2 linked regions of the Arabidopsis thaliana genome follow. The protein of the gene in region 1 interacts with the protein of each later gene in a pairwise test. Each region holds a gene or a part of one and is shown in the gene's direction. Other genes may lie near its edges.

Evidence for each region. Proteins that work in one complex are often made in the same cells at the same time.
Region 2: the proteins of AT1G05805 (region 1) and ERF2 interact in a two-hybrid assay, tested with the Arabidopsis thaliana proteins (one large-scale study listed by BioGRID).

Annotation. Positions count from the first base shown.
Region 1 is NC_003070.9:1,740,962-1,746,689, forward strand, and holds the start of AT1G05805 (basic helix-loop-helix (bHLH) DNA-binding superfamily protein), read left to right. Parts: upstream 1-3,482; 5' UTR 3,483-3,881; coding exon 3,882-4,356; intron 4,357-5,248; coding exon 5,249-5,541; intron 5,542-5,728. Other genes in the region: DGL (alpha/beta-Hydrolases superfamily protein), read left to right, coding at 243-1,658.
Region 2 is NC_003076.8:19,170,368-19,175,813, reverse strand, and holds ERF2 (ethylene responsive element binding factor 2), read left to right. Parts: upstream 1-2,857; 5' UTR 2,858-3,059; coding exon 3,060-3,791; 3' UTR 3,792-4,171; downstream 4,172-5,446. Other genes in the region: AT5G47210 (Hyaluronan / mRNA binding family), read left to right, coding at 4,802-4,961, 5,233-5,446.

The DNA of each region.
Region 1 (5,728 bases):
AAATATTAATACTTGTCTCCCAACATATGAATATTATTATTAAAACTTGTACCAACGATAACTTTTGAATAGTTTAATTTCTCAGTCAATACTCGCCAAACATATTGTAGCTTTTTCTATCTCCATGATCTCCATTCACATTTTCACTCTATAAATACGCATCTCACTCGTTGTCTCTCTTTATACTTCAACCAACTGCTCTCTATCTCTGTGTTTCCCTCTCTCTATACTGCCGTCCATTAATGGCGGCCAAAGTCTTCACTCAGAACCCTATCTATTCTCAATCTCTAGTTAGAGACAAAACTCCTCAACAGAAACACAATCTTGACCATTTCTCTATATCCCAGCACACCTCTAAAAGACTCGTTGTCTCTTCTTCTACAATGTCCCCTCCGATTTCATCTTCTCCACTCTCTCTTCCTTCTTCTTCTTCTTCTCAGGCCATTCCTCCTTCTCGAGCACCTGCAGTGACTCTACCGTTGTCTCGGGTTTGGAGAGAGATACAAGGGAGCAATAACTGGGAAAATCTCATTGAACCTCTAAGCCCTATTCTCCAACAAGAGATCACTCGCTACGGGAACTTACTCTCCGCTTCTTACAAAGGGTTTGATCTAAACCCTAACTCCAAACGTTACTTGAGTTGCAAGTATGGAAAAAAGAACTTGCTTAAAGAATCCGGAATCCATGACCCTGATGGCTACCAAGTCACCAAGTATATCTACGCCACACCAGACATCAACCTCAACCCTATCAAGAACGAGCCTAACCGTGCACGTTGGATCGGTTATGTAGCGGTTTCTTCTGATGAATCGGTGAAACGTTTGGGAAGGAGGGATATTTTGGTGACGTTTCGTGGCACTGTCACCAACCATGAGTGGTTAGCTAACCTAAAGAGCTCTTTGACTCCGGCTAGGCTTGATCCTCATAACCCTCGTCCTGATGTCAAGGTCGAATCCGGGTTCTTAGGTTTATACACATCCGGTGAGAGCGAGAGCAAATTCGGGCTAGAAAGCTGCCGTGAGCAGCTTCTCTCCGAGATCTCGAGGCTTATGAACAAGCACAAAGGCGAGGAAATAAGCATAACACTTGCGGGACATAGTATGGGGAGTTCTCTAGCTCAGCTTCTAGCTTACGACATAGCGGAACTCGGTATGAACCAGAGAAGGGACGAAAAACCTGTTCCGGTGACCGTGTTTTCGTTTGCTGGTCCTAGAGTTGGTAACTTGGGGTTCAAAAAACGGTGTGAGGAGCTAGGAGTTAAAGTCTTGAGGATCACGAATGTAAACGATCCGATCACCAAACTTCCAGGTTTCTTATTTAATGAGAATTTCAGATCTTTAGGTGGTGTTTACGAGCTTCCTTGGAGCTGTTCTTGCTACACTCACGTGGGAGTCGAACTCACCCTCGATTTCTTCGATGTTCAAAACATTTCTTGTGTCCATGACCTCGAGACTTACATCACTCTAGTAAACCGTCCGAGATGCTCGAAATTGGCGGTTAATGAAGACAATTTTGGCGGCGAGTTTTTGAACAGAACAAGTGAACTGATGTTCAGTAAGGGACGACGTCAAGCGTTGCATTTTACAAACGCAGCGACCAATGCGGCATATCTACTTTGTTCTATATCCAACCATATGTTGTATTATAATATATTTTAGGTCTAGATTGATCCAAGCTAAAATTTTGGATTCTTTTTTAAGATAGGACAAAATAATTATTGCCCTATCTTTTACGTAGCATAAGAAATGTACATATATAGATGTATATGCAAAACCTAATACAAAAAAGTATATTTTCCACATCCAAGATAAATTATTGCGTCTCATCTATCACAATGTGAACAAAAATAATTATTTTCTTCTCTTAGTTACTATGAGTTCACAATATAATACTTTTCTTTAGGTTAAAGCTCTCAACTGTTGATGAAGTACAAGAACTCAAAATTGTGAATGAAAAAAAGGGACATCATCCAATATCAGGCGTGTACATATTAGCATTGTTGTGTATCTTTTTATATTATAGTCCATTAGTCCTAATCGATAGATGTATTTTTTTTTGTTTTATTAGTTATAAAAACAGACATCTATTATTAATTTGTTATGGTTAATTGGTTATTGTATATTATTATAGTAGAAGTGACGTGAGGTACCAACGTATTAGATTATAAATATAAATAATGGCCAAAGACAAAGCCATTTGTCAAAACTTCAACGTCATTATAACCTGTAAGATTAAAAATGAACAATAAGAAATCATATTTAGCAAAAAAAAAAAAAAAAAACAATAAGAATCATTTGTCAAATCTTCAACATCGTTACAGTGTATAATTTATATTTTGATTTTTTGTTCTAAATGATCAAAGTTCATATATAAAGTTATTTATATGCTCAAATTTAATCATCGAATATATATACAATTTGTCTATGTTATTTGTCAAAGACAACGTCAGCAATAGTTCCATATACTCTCTTTTTCTTTCGGAGTCTTTATATTACTCACGGAGATATTAAATTATATTTATTTTTTCACTGAGATATTTTTTTTTTTTTGGTTTAATGTTAATAAACTCACTGAGATATTAATTAATACATGCAATCTTTATCTATATTTCCCATTTTTATTTGTAAATGTGTCCCTTCTCGTGTTATGCGAGGGTCTTTTTTTAACTTTTTAATTTCTCATTTGGAAGCTTTCATCTATAAATATATGCACTAGCTTATTCTATATATAACATAAAACCGAAAAAAGGTTTTGTTCACGATGTGGATTCTCTGTTCACGAGAGGTTTTGTTGAAAAAGAAAGAAAGAAAATAATTCAACTTGAATTTGGAAGTTTGGTTACAGATCACATCATTCGACAATAAAAATAAAGACATATATAACAATTAGAACAGTAACTAATTTGAATTTCAGCTTCGATTTCTTACGAATCACATGGGGTCAATAAGGGTGGGGCTAGAAAAACACGTACGTTTGGAGACCAATGTGTGTATCATTCCTGCATGCGCATCAGATGTGTTTCACTCTTCAGAAAAACGTTTATTTTATTTTGCATGTCACAGTCGTAGCTAATTATCCGTACGCATCTTAATTACGACTCCATTTTACACACCAATTTATGGATATATAATTCAGACAAGATGAGTTCTCGTTTAATTTTACTTCTTTCCATTTGTGGAAGTTCATATACTATTGTGAAAATTTGAAAATAACTGGTGAAAGAGGAAACGTCCATATTTGTGGGCTCTATTTATAATAATAACAACAATATTAATTGTTTAGGTAAAAATTAACAGAACTATTTTGAATTACAATCGGAAAAAGGTTTGCGTCAAAAAAGTATTGATGAACCATGCATTTGATATAAGCATTTATGTTTGTTCAATTTACTATTAAGCAATTAAGTCGAATTTTATCGAATCATTTTAATTTTTACCTTTAACATTTCTGTGATCTTGAAATCTTTAAATTAACAATGTGAGTTATATACACTAGAGAAAAATAATTGCATTCCACTGAAAACCTCAACATCTTGGGAAATTTAAACTTAATCAAAGACATCGCAAATGTTGCTTATCTTTTTATCAAGCCCAGCCCACATATTCGCGGCCCCAAAGCCCAAAGGTTAAGCTGACTCGTTACAAAATAAATAAGTATTAATAAAGGTTTTTGATTGGCTTATTTCGGTTTAAATTTAATACCATATCTTTCGGAAGATCACGTGAGACACATGTGACATCCAACGAATAGCCAATCGCTGAAAAGTGAAGACTTTTTGTTACCCCATAAACAAAAGCATCATCTCTCTCTCATCTTTTATTTTTCTTTTAGAAACCAAACTTTTCAGATTTCTCTCTCTCCATTTGGCGATAGAAGAAGTCATGTACCAATCATCATCCTCCACGTCATCATCATCGCAGAGATCATCGCTTCCCGGCGGCGGAGGACTGATCCGTTACGGCTCAGCTCCGGGATCGTTTCTAAACTCTGTGGTTGACGAAGTCATCGGAGGAGGCTCATCAAACGCTCGTGACTTCACCGGCTATCAACCGTCGTCGGATAACTTCATCGGTAACTTTTTCACCGGAGCTGCTGACTCATCCTCGCTGAGATCCGATTCGACGACTTGTGGAGTCAACAACTCATCCGACGGACAGAAACAGCTAGGCAATAACAATAATAATAATAGTAATAAAGATATCTTCCTCGACAGATCCTACGGTGGATTCAACGAGATCTCGCAACAACACAAGAGCAACGACATCGGAGGAGGAAACAGCTCAGGATCTTACTCTCTCGCTAGACAACGTAGCTCTCCCGCCGATTTCTTCACCTACCTCGCCTCAGATAAAAACAGTTAGTCCTTTTTTTACTCAAGAATAGTAACTGTGATGAGATATATATATTTAGACAGACAAGTTTACTCATTTTCAGACCATTTTTCCTTAGAATTTGCCAAAAATCGTAATGTAGAATATGAGCTATATAGTTTTCAGTCATTCAATCATTCATTGCTCAACTAAAGATCCGTTTTTTGGTGAAATGAAAATCTAACCACGAGGGTATTTTCGGTATTTCTCACTGTGAAGTATCTAGTTTCTTACAAGTTAATTAACGACTATGTATATAAAATAAGTTGACATTGTGAGCTTTGATATTTAGGGTCGTTGCTAAATTAGCTTGGTTGGTACTTGTGCAAGACGTGATCCTCGTATTTTCGGAATGACGAAAATACCATTTGATCCCTAACCACGTGCTTGAAAATACAGCAAAAATGTGGCTCGGTTACCCTTAATTTGGGATATTATTTAAATCTTCGAGGATTCCTATATCTCAAGTTGCATTTATTTATTTAGAGGATGGATTTTTTCGTTGATGACCAATAGTTTCTCTGCTGAGATGGCGAAATATCATTGGTTGTGATGAAGATTATTCAAATAGAAAGCGATGTAGATCTAGTTGGTGGATCTGATCTGTCCACTTTTATATTATTTTTTCCTTGGTCCTGATGATTCGTGCTTTGCTTCGTTGTTATCTAATCATAATATCTTCCACCAAGCCTGGATGTGACTTCCCACACCTAACCGGTCACCGGCCTGAACCGGAATTCAACTATCCATATTATCCAAAAATCCCTCTTTATTTACTTACATTATATGGTTTCTAATATTTTGGATGTGAATGTGAATTATTTTTAAAAATAATTTTCACGTAATGTCATTATAATATAGTTTACTTTGTAAATCAGATTTCTCGTTGAACCAACCAACCAGTGATTATAGTCCGCAAGGAGGGTCTAATGGGGGACGAGGACATTCCAGATTGAAGTCTCAGCTAAGCTTCACGAATCACGACTCTCTGGCTCGGATCAACGAGGTCAATGAGACCCCAGTCCACGACGGTTCAGGCCATTCGTTTTCTGCGGCTAGCTTTGGTGCAGCCACTACTGATTCTTGGGATGACGGTTCCGGTTCGATAGGGTTTACCGTGACTAGGCCCAGTAAACGATCCAAGGACATGGACTCTGGTCTCTTTTCGCAGGTACAATTTATTTGTTTCCATGTGGGATTCCTTTTTTTTTTTCTTCATGTGTTATTACTATAAACATGCTACTTTAGTCAAATTATATGAAATTTCAAAATTTCTAGAAAAGGACAAAAAAATGTAAAATATTTGTTTTAGGATAGACATAAAAAAAAAAATTAACTAGTAAAGGTAAATGCAGCAA
Region 2 (5,446 bases), on another chromosome or scaffold:
GTTTAAAGAGAGCCAATCGAGAACCGTTGAACTTACATGGGAAAAATAGAATCCGCGAGTTCTTGCACATTTCGCAAGATAATCTGCTCGGATATTACTAGTACGGGGAACATGCATAATATTAAAAGATACAAGTTGATTCTTAAAATACTCGAAATCTTTTAACTCTGATGCAAAAATGGGCCACTCCTCCGGCGTATTAACCATAGTGAGAAGATCAGAGCAATCCGTCTTAACAAGGACTTCCTTGATTGATAAGTCTACTAAGCACTTTAAAGCCCAAACTAATGTGTCTAGTTCTGCATGAAGCGGTGATAAACAACGACGTGAACCCTTCAATCCTAAATGAAGCAATCTTTCCCCACGGGTCAAAATCCACCCATGACCGCTCCGCGAATCAGTTATATGCCAAGACCCATCAATGAAGCAGATTGGGGAAGCCATATCTATATGTTGCCCTTCCAAACTTGGCTTGGTACCTTCTGGTTGCTCTTCTCTCCTATTGGCTCGCCTCCATACTTCTTCCTCATGTATTGCTAAGTCTAAAGTGTCTTGAGGTTGCACGCAAATACTTTCGAAATTTTTTCGGTTTCGCGCTTTCCAAATATACCACATTATCCATGGAAAGACCCGTAAGCTCTCCTCACAAGCTCCAATCTCATTCGCTCTCCAATACAGATAATCGAGATTATTGTATATAGAAGACGAAAGAAACCTAGATGGAGAGGAGGGAATACCGGATAGCGCCCAGACTTGTCTTGCCGGGGGACATTCAAATATTAAATGATTGATGGTTTCTTCATCCGCCCCACATCTAGGACATTTTTTATCTCTACCAATATGGCGAAAATATAGGCGTTGACAAGTTGCTAAACACTCTGACACACATTGCTACACAAAATGCTTTAGCTTTCGTGTAGTTTTTAATTTCCACGCTTGCGCCTTTAGTGCCGTAACACTAGGTCCCTGAAGAGGGTGGTCGCAAGACGGGCGAGAGAGGGCTCTCGCAGCTTCATATCTTGTCTTGACAGTATAATTACCGAACTTAGTCAATGTCCAACTATATCCATCTCGCGAGACATTTAGCCTCGGTTTTATCCCTAAAATCAAAGTAATATCCTCGGGGGGGGGGGGGGGGGAACAACTCCCGTAGACGATCTACTTTCCACCTCTTCGTCTGGAAGTCAATCAAGGTGTTAACGTAGACCAAAGGGTTCCTATCCATAATTAAACCTTTCGGTGGTCTTGGAGGAGTATCTGGGATCCATGGATAATAGGCGACTATATGTTCTAGGAGGTTGCACAAAGAAAAAGTTTGTTCTAGCATAATATGAGAATAGATGATTTACGTCTTAAAATTAAACTATCACCGACTAATAATAAGCATAATAAGATGTGACTAAAACAACTAAGATTAAATGATGATCATCATGACATTTGAAAATTATATAAACCCAAATCATAAAGAAACAAGAAACAATATGAAAACAATATATTCCTAAGATACAGCAAAAGTGGATGTATGTGAAACGTCCAAAGAGATAATTTGAGGATTAGCTGCGGAGTTCAAACATAAAAACGAAAGTTCAACTACTACTTTCATATTTAATTAATCAAAGTATTTAATTGCAAAACGGAACTTAACCTGATTGGATCCATAAGTATATTATCATTATTCTTTTACCAAAGAAATAAATAAATTCGTTTTTAATCATATTTAGAGCTATTCATGTTCTTGTAATCAATTAAAAGTTTCATTTGTTTACAAACATAACATCATATATACACTCAAAAACAGCAAAATTGAAATAACCATCTGACCAGAATGATGTGTTTGAACCAAAACTACTCTTGGAATCGAATATAGATTAAAAATATATAGTAAACTAATTTTTAGAGAGTTTGAGTGACTATTGACTAAACTATGCTTCCGTGAAGGAGGTCCCTTTTGCAAGTGGACATACGTGAGAGACCCACCATTAATTTGTCTTTGAGCCTTATTGTTGTTATTGACTTTTAGCCAATAGAAAGAGATGGAAATTCAATAATTATCCACAAAATTCCAAATCATTGGTGTACAAAAAGATCTAAGGCTGTTATATTTTCAAAAAAGAAAGAAAAGAAATGCAACAAATATGGATTAAACTGTGGTTTGTAAATTGAGCTTTGCATGAAAACTTTATCACTATGATTTCACTACTCCATATTTATTGACTAAAGTGGCACTAATGAATTTCTTAATCATGAAATCTTGTATCAAAAAGTACTAAAATAAACATGACATTGGCAATTAGGAAAATTCTAAATTAGAAATTAGTAAAAATGAAAGGTGAAAGGGAAAGATGATGATATGAATTGGTTGGTGACCAGGAGAAATGTATCCCGATTTTTGCAGACACTTTCAGTGTCCCCATTCATATAATTATGGCCCACCTCGTTAAGATTTTTCATTCACCACCATAACAAGATCTAAGCTTAGATTTCATGTAATTAAACATATAATATACTTGCCAATACTATCTAATAAAGTATACTTAAGCAAAAATTATTACTCTAGTGTAAGGCGATGAAATATAAGTTTAGTTGAAAATTTATGTCGATATAACAAAGTATAATGAATTAAGACCTTGGTTTTCGATTAACAAACTAATTAAACACTAGTTTTGCCTAATAAAACCGGGAATCGTATTCAAAACCGAACGACAAAACAAGGGACAAGTTGAGAGACAAAACCAAATCAGCATCTTTCTTCCAGAAATGTCATGACCACATGACGTCATCTTGACCCTTCTTCATTGTGATATCTGTGGATAAAGCGCACGTGTTTAATTCACGAACCTTCGTAGTAACGAAAAATCCACAACTTTCATATTTTTTAATTACCCACTAAACTAAAACAAATTTGGAAAAACATGAAAAACTTTTTCTTTTTTTCCAGGTTCGTGAACCTCGTACCCTCTATATAAACCTCTTAACCACCTTCCACATAGAAAAAAGTTCAGATATTTGATAAATCAATCAACAAAACAAAAAAAACTCTATAGTTAGTTTCTCTGAAAATGTACGGACAGTGCAATATAGAATCCGACTACGCTTTGTTGGAGTCGATAACACGTCACTTGCTAGGAGGAGGAGGAGAGAACGAGCTGCGACTCAATGAGTCAACACCGAGTTCGTGTTTCACAGAGAGTTGGGGAGGTTTGCCATTGAAAGAGAATGATTCAGAGGACATGTTGGTGTACGGACTCCTCAAAGATGCCTTCCATTTTGACACGTCATCATCGGACTTGAGCTGTCTTTTTGATTTTCCGGCGGTTAAAGTCGAGCCAACTGAGAACTTTACGGCGATGGAGGAGAAACCAAAGAAAGCGATACCGGTTACGGAGACGGCAGTGAAGGCGAAGCATTACAGAGGAGTGAGGCAGAGACCGTGGGGGAAATTCGCGGCGGAGATACGTGATCCGGCGAAGAATGGAGCTAGGGTTTGGTTAGGGACGTTTGAGACGGCGGAAGATGCGGCTTTAGCTTACGATATAGCTGCTTTTAGGATGCGTGGTTCCCGCGCTTTATTGAATTTTCCGTTGAGGGTTAATTCCGGTGAACCTGACCCGGTTCGGATCACGTCTAAGAGATCTTCTTCGTCGTCGTCGTCGTCGTCCTCTTCTACGTCGTCGTCTGAAAACGGGAAGTTGAAACGAAGGAGAAAAGCAGAGAATCTGACGTCGGAGGTGGTGCAGGTGAAGTGTGAGGTTGGTGATGAGACACGTGTTGATGAGTTATTGGTTTCATAAGTTTGATCTTGTGTGTTTTGTAGTTGAATAGTTTTGCTATAAATGTTGAGGCACCAAGTAAAAGTGTTCCCGTGATGTAAATTAGTTACTAAACAGAGCCATATATCTTCAATCCATAAACAAAATAGACACTTTAATAAAGCCGTGAGTGTTAATTTTTCAATCTAGTTTCATTTCTTACATGACATTCACGGCTTTATTAAAGTATTACACCATATCCCCTAATACAATCTCTTAACTCAATTTGAGTTCTATATTGCTAAGTAGCCAAAACTTGATCGAAGAGGTAACAATTACTAAAACCAAAATCCATCAACAGTAGCGCGACAATAAATAATAACCTATCTATTTTAGATTTTTTTTTGTTGTAAATGTTGTGAGCTTAAGTGTGTAATCACTTGTAAATGTTTCTGTTTGATACTCTTGAGAAGATGAAGCTGTCTAAGGTCGACAAGCAAAGGCTCTGCTAGAGAAAATTCATTTAAGCAATCAATTTATATCTTTGATTTTTGAAGCACATAAAACTTTGAACCCAATAAAGGTTTAGAATGAGAAAAACCGTGTCTCGCCTAGAGGATTCAGTATTGAAACCCAGTTATTCTCTTAATGGACTAAGAACGAATATTCTTTTCATTAATGGGCTTTAACCAACGAGAGCTGATATTTATTATTGTTAATGGGCTTAACCAGTTTGTAGCCCACGGATAGATAAAGAGAGGACCAGAACACAGTTAAATAGCACCCGCCGCAGAGAATAATAACTCAGGAAGGGTTTATAGATTAGGTTTTTAAGTCGCACCTCTCTCTCTCACTGCCGCATCTTTTCTTAGGGTTCTTGTTTCGCTATCTCTTAAACACAAACAGCTCTGTCCGAATAATCTCTCTTCAAGTACCTCTTTTTTCTGATTCTGTATATCGCCATGAATTACTGATTTCCCTCTCTATAAACCCATCAAAGTAAACCAATTTCTCCTGTGACTTGTACCTAACTCGATCTTACCAGACTGGTGATGGCGTCTTTGAACCCTTTCGATCTTCTAGGAGATGATGCTGAGGATCCAAGCCAGCTCGCTGTGGCTTTGTCTCAGAAAGTCGAGAAAGCTGCTGCTGCTGTTCAGCCTCCTAAGGCCGCTAAGTTCCCAACCAAGCCGGCTCCTCCTTCTCAAGCAGGTAAAAGTTCTTTCCTTTATGTTGATACTTAACAGATTTAGATTCAGCTGTGTTTTGTCTAGTGTTTGATTGATTAGTTCTAGTGAAGTTTGTTTATGGTTGTCATGAAAGATCCATAGTCAAATGTGTGTGCTTTTTTCATTTGCTGCTTTGTTAGTTTCTTCCGTATCTTATTTTGTTTCTCTACTGCTTTGTTAGATTAGGGTAAAGCTTAATACTTTGTTAGATTAGGATAAGTATATATATTGAAAGCTTTTTGTTATGAATGTAGTGAGGGAGTCGAGGAATGCTCCTCAAGGAGGTCGTGGTGGGACTGGTGGACGTGGTGGATTTTCCCGTGGCAGGGGTAATGGTGGATACAACCGGGACAACAGGAACAATGATGCTCCTGGAAATGAGAATGGATTTTCTGGAGGATACAGGAGACCTTCTGAAGATGCTGATGGAGCAAGCCGTGGTGGGTCTGTTGGTGGATACCGTGTTGG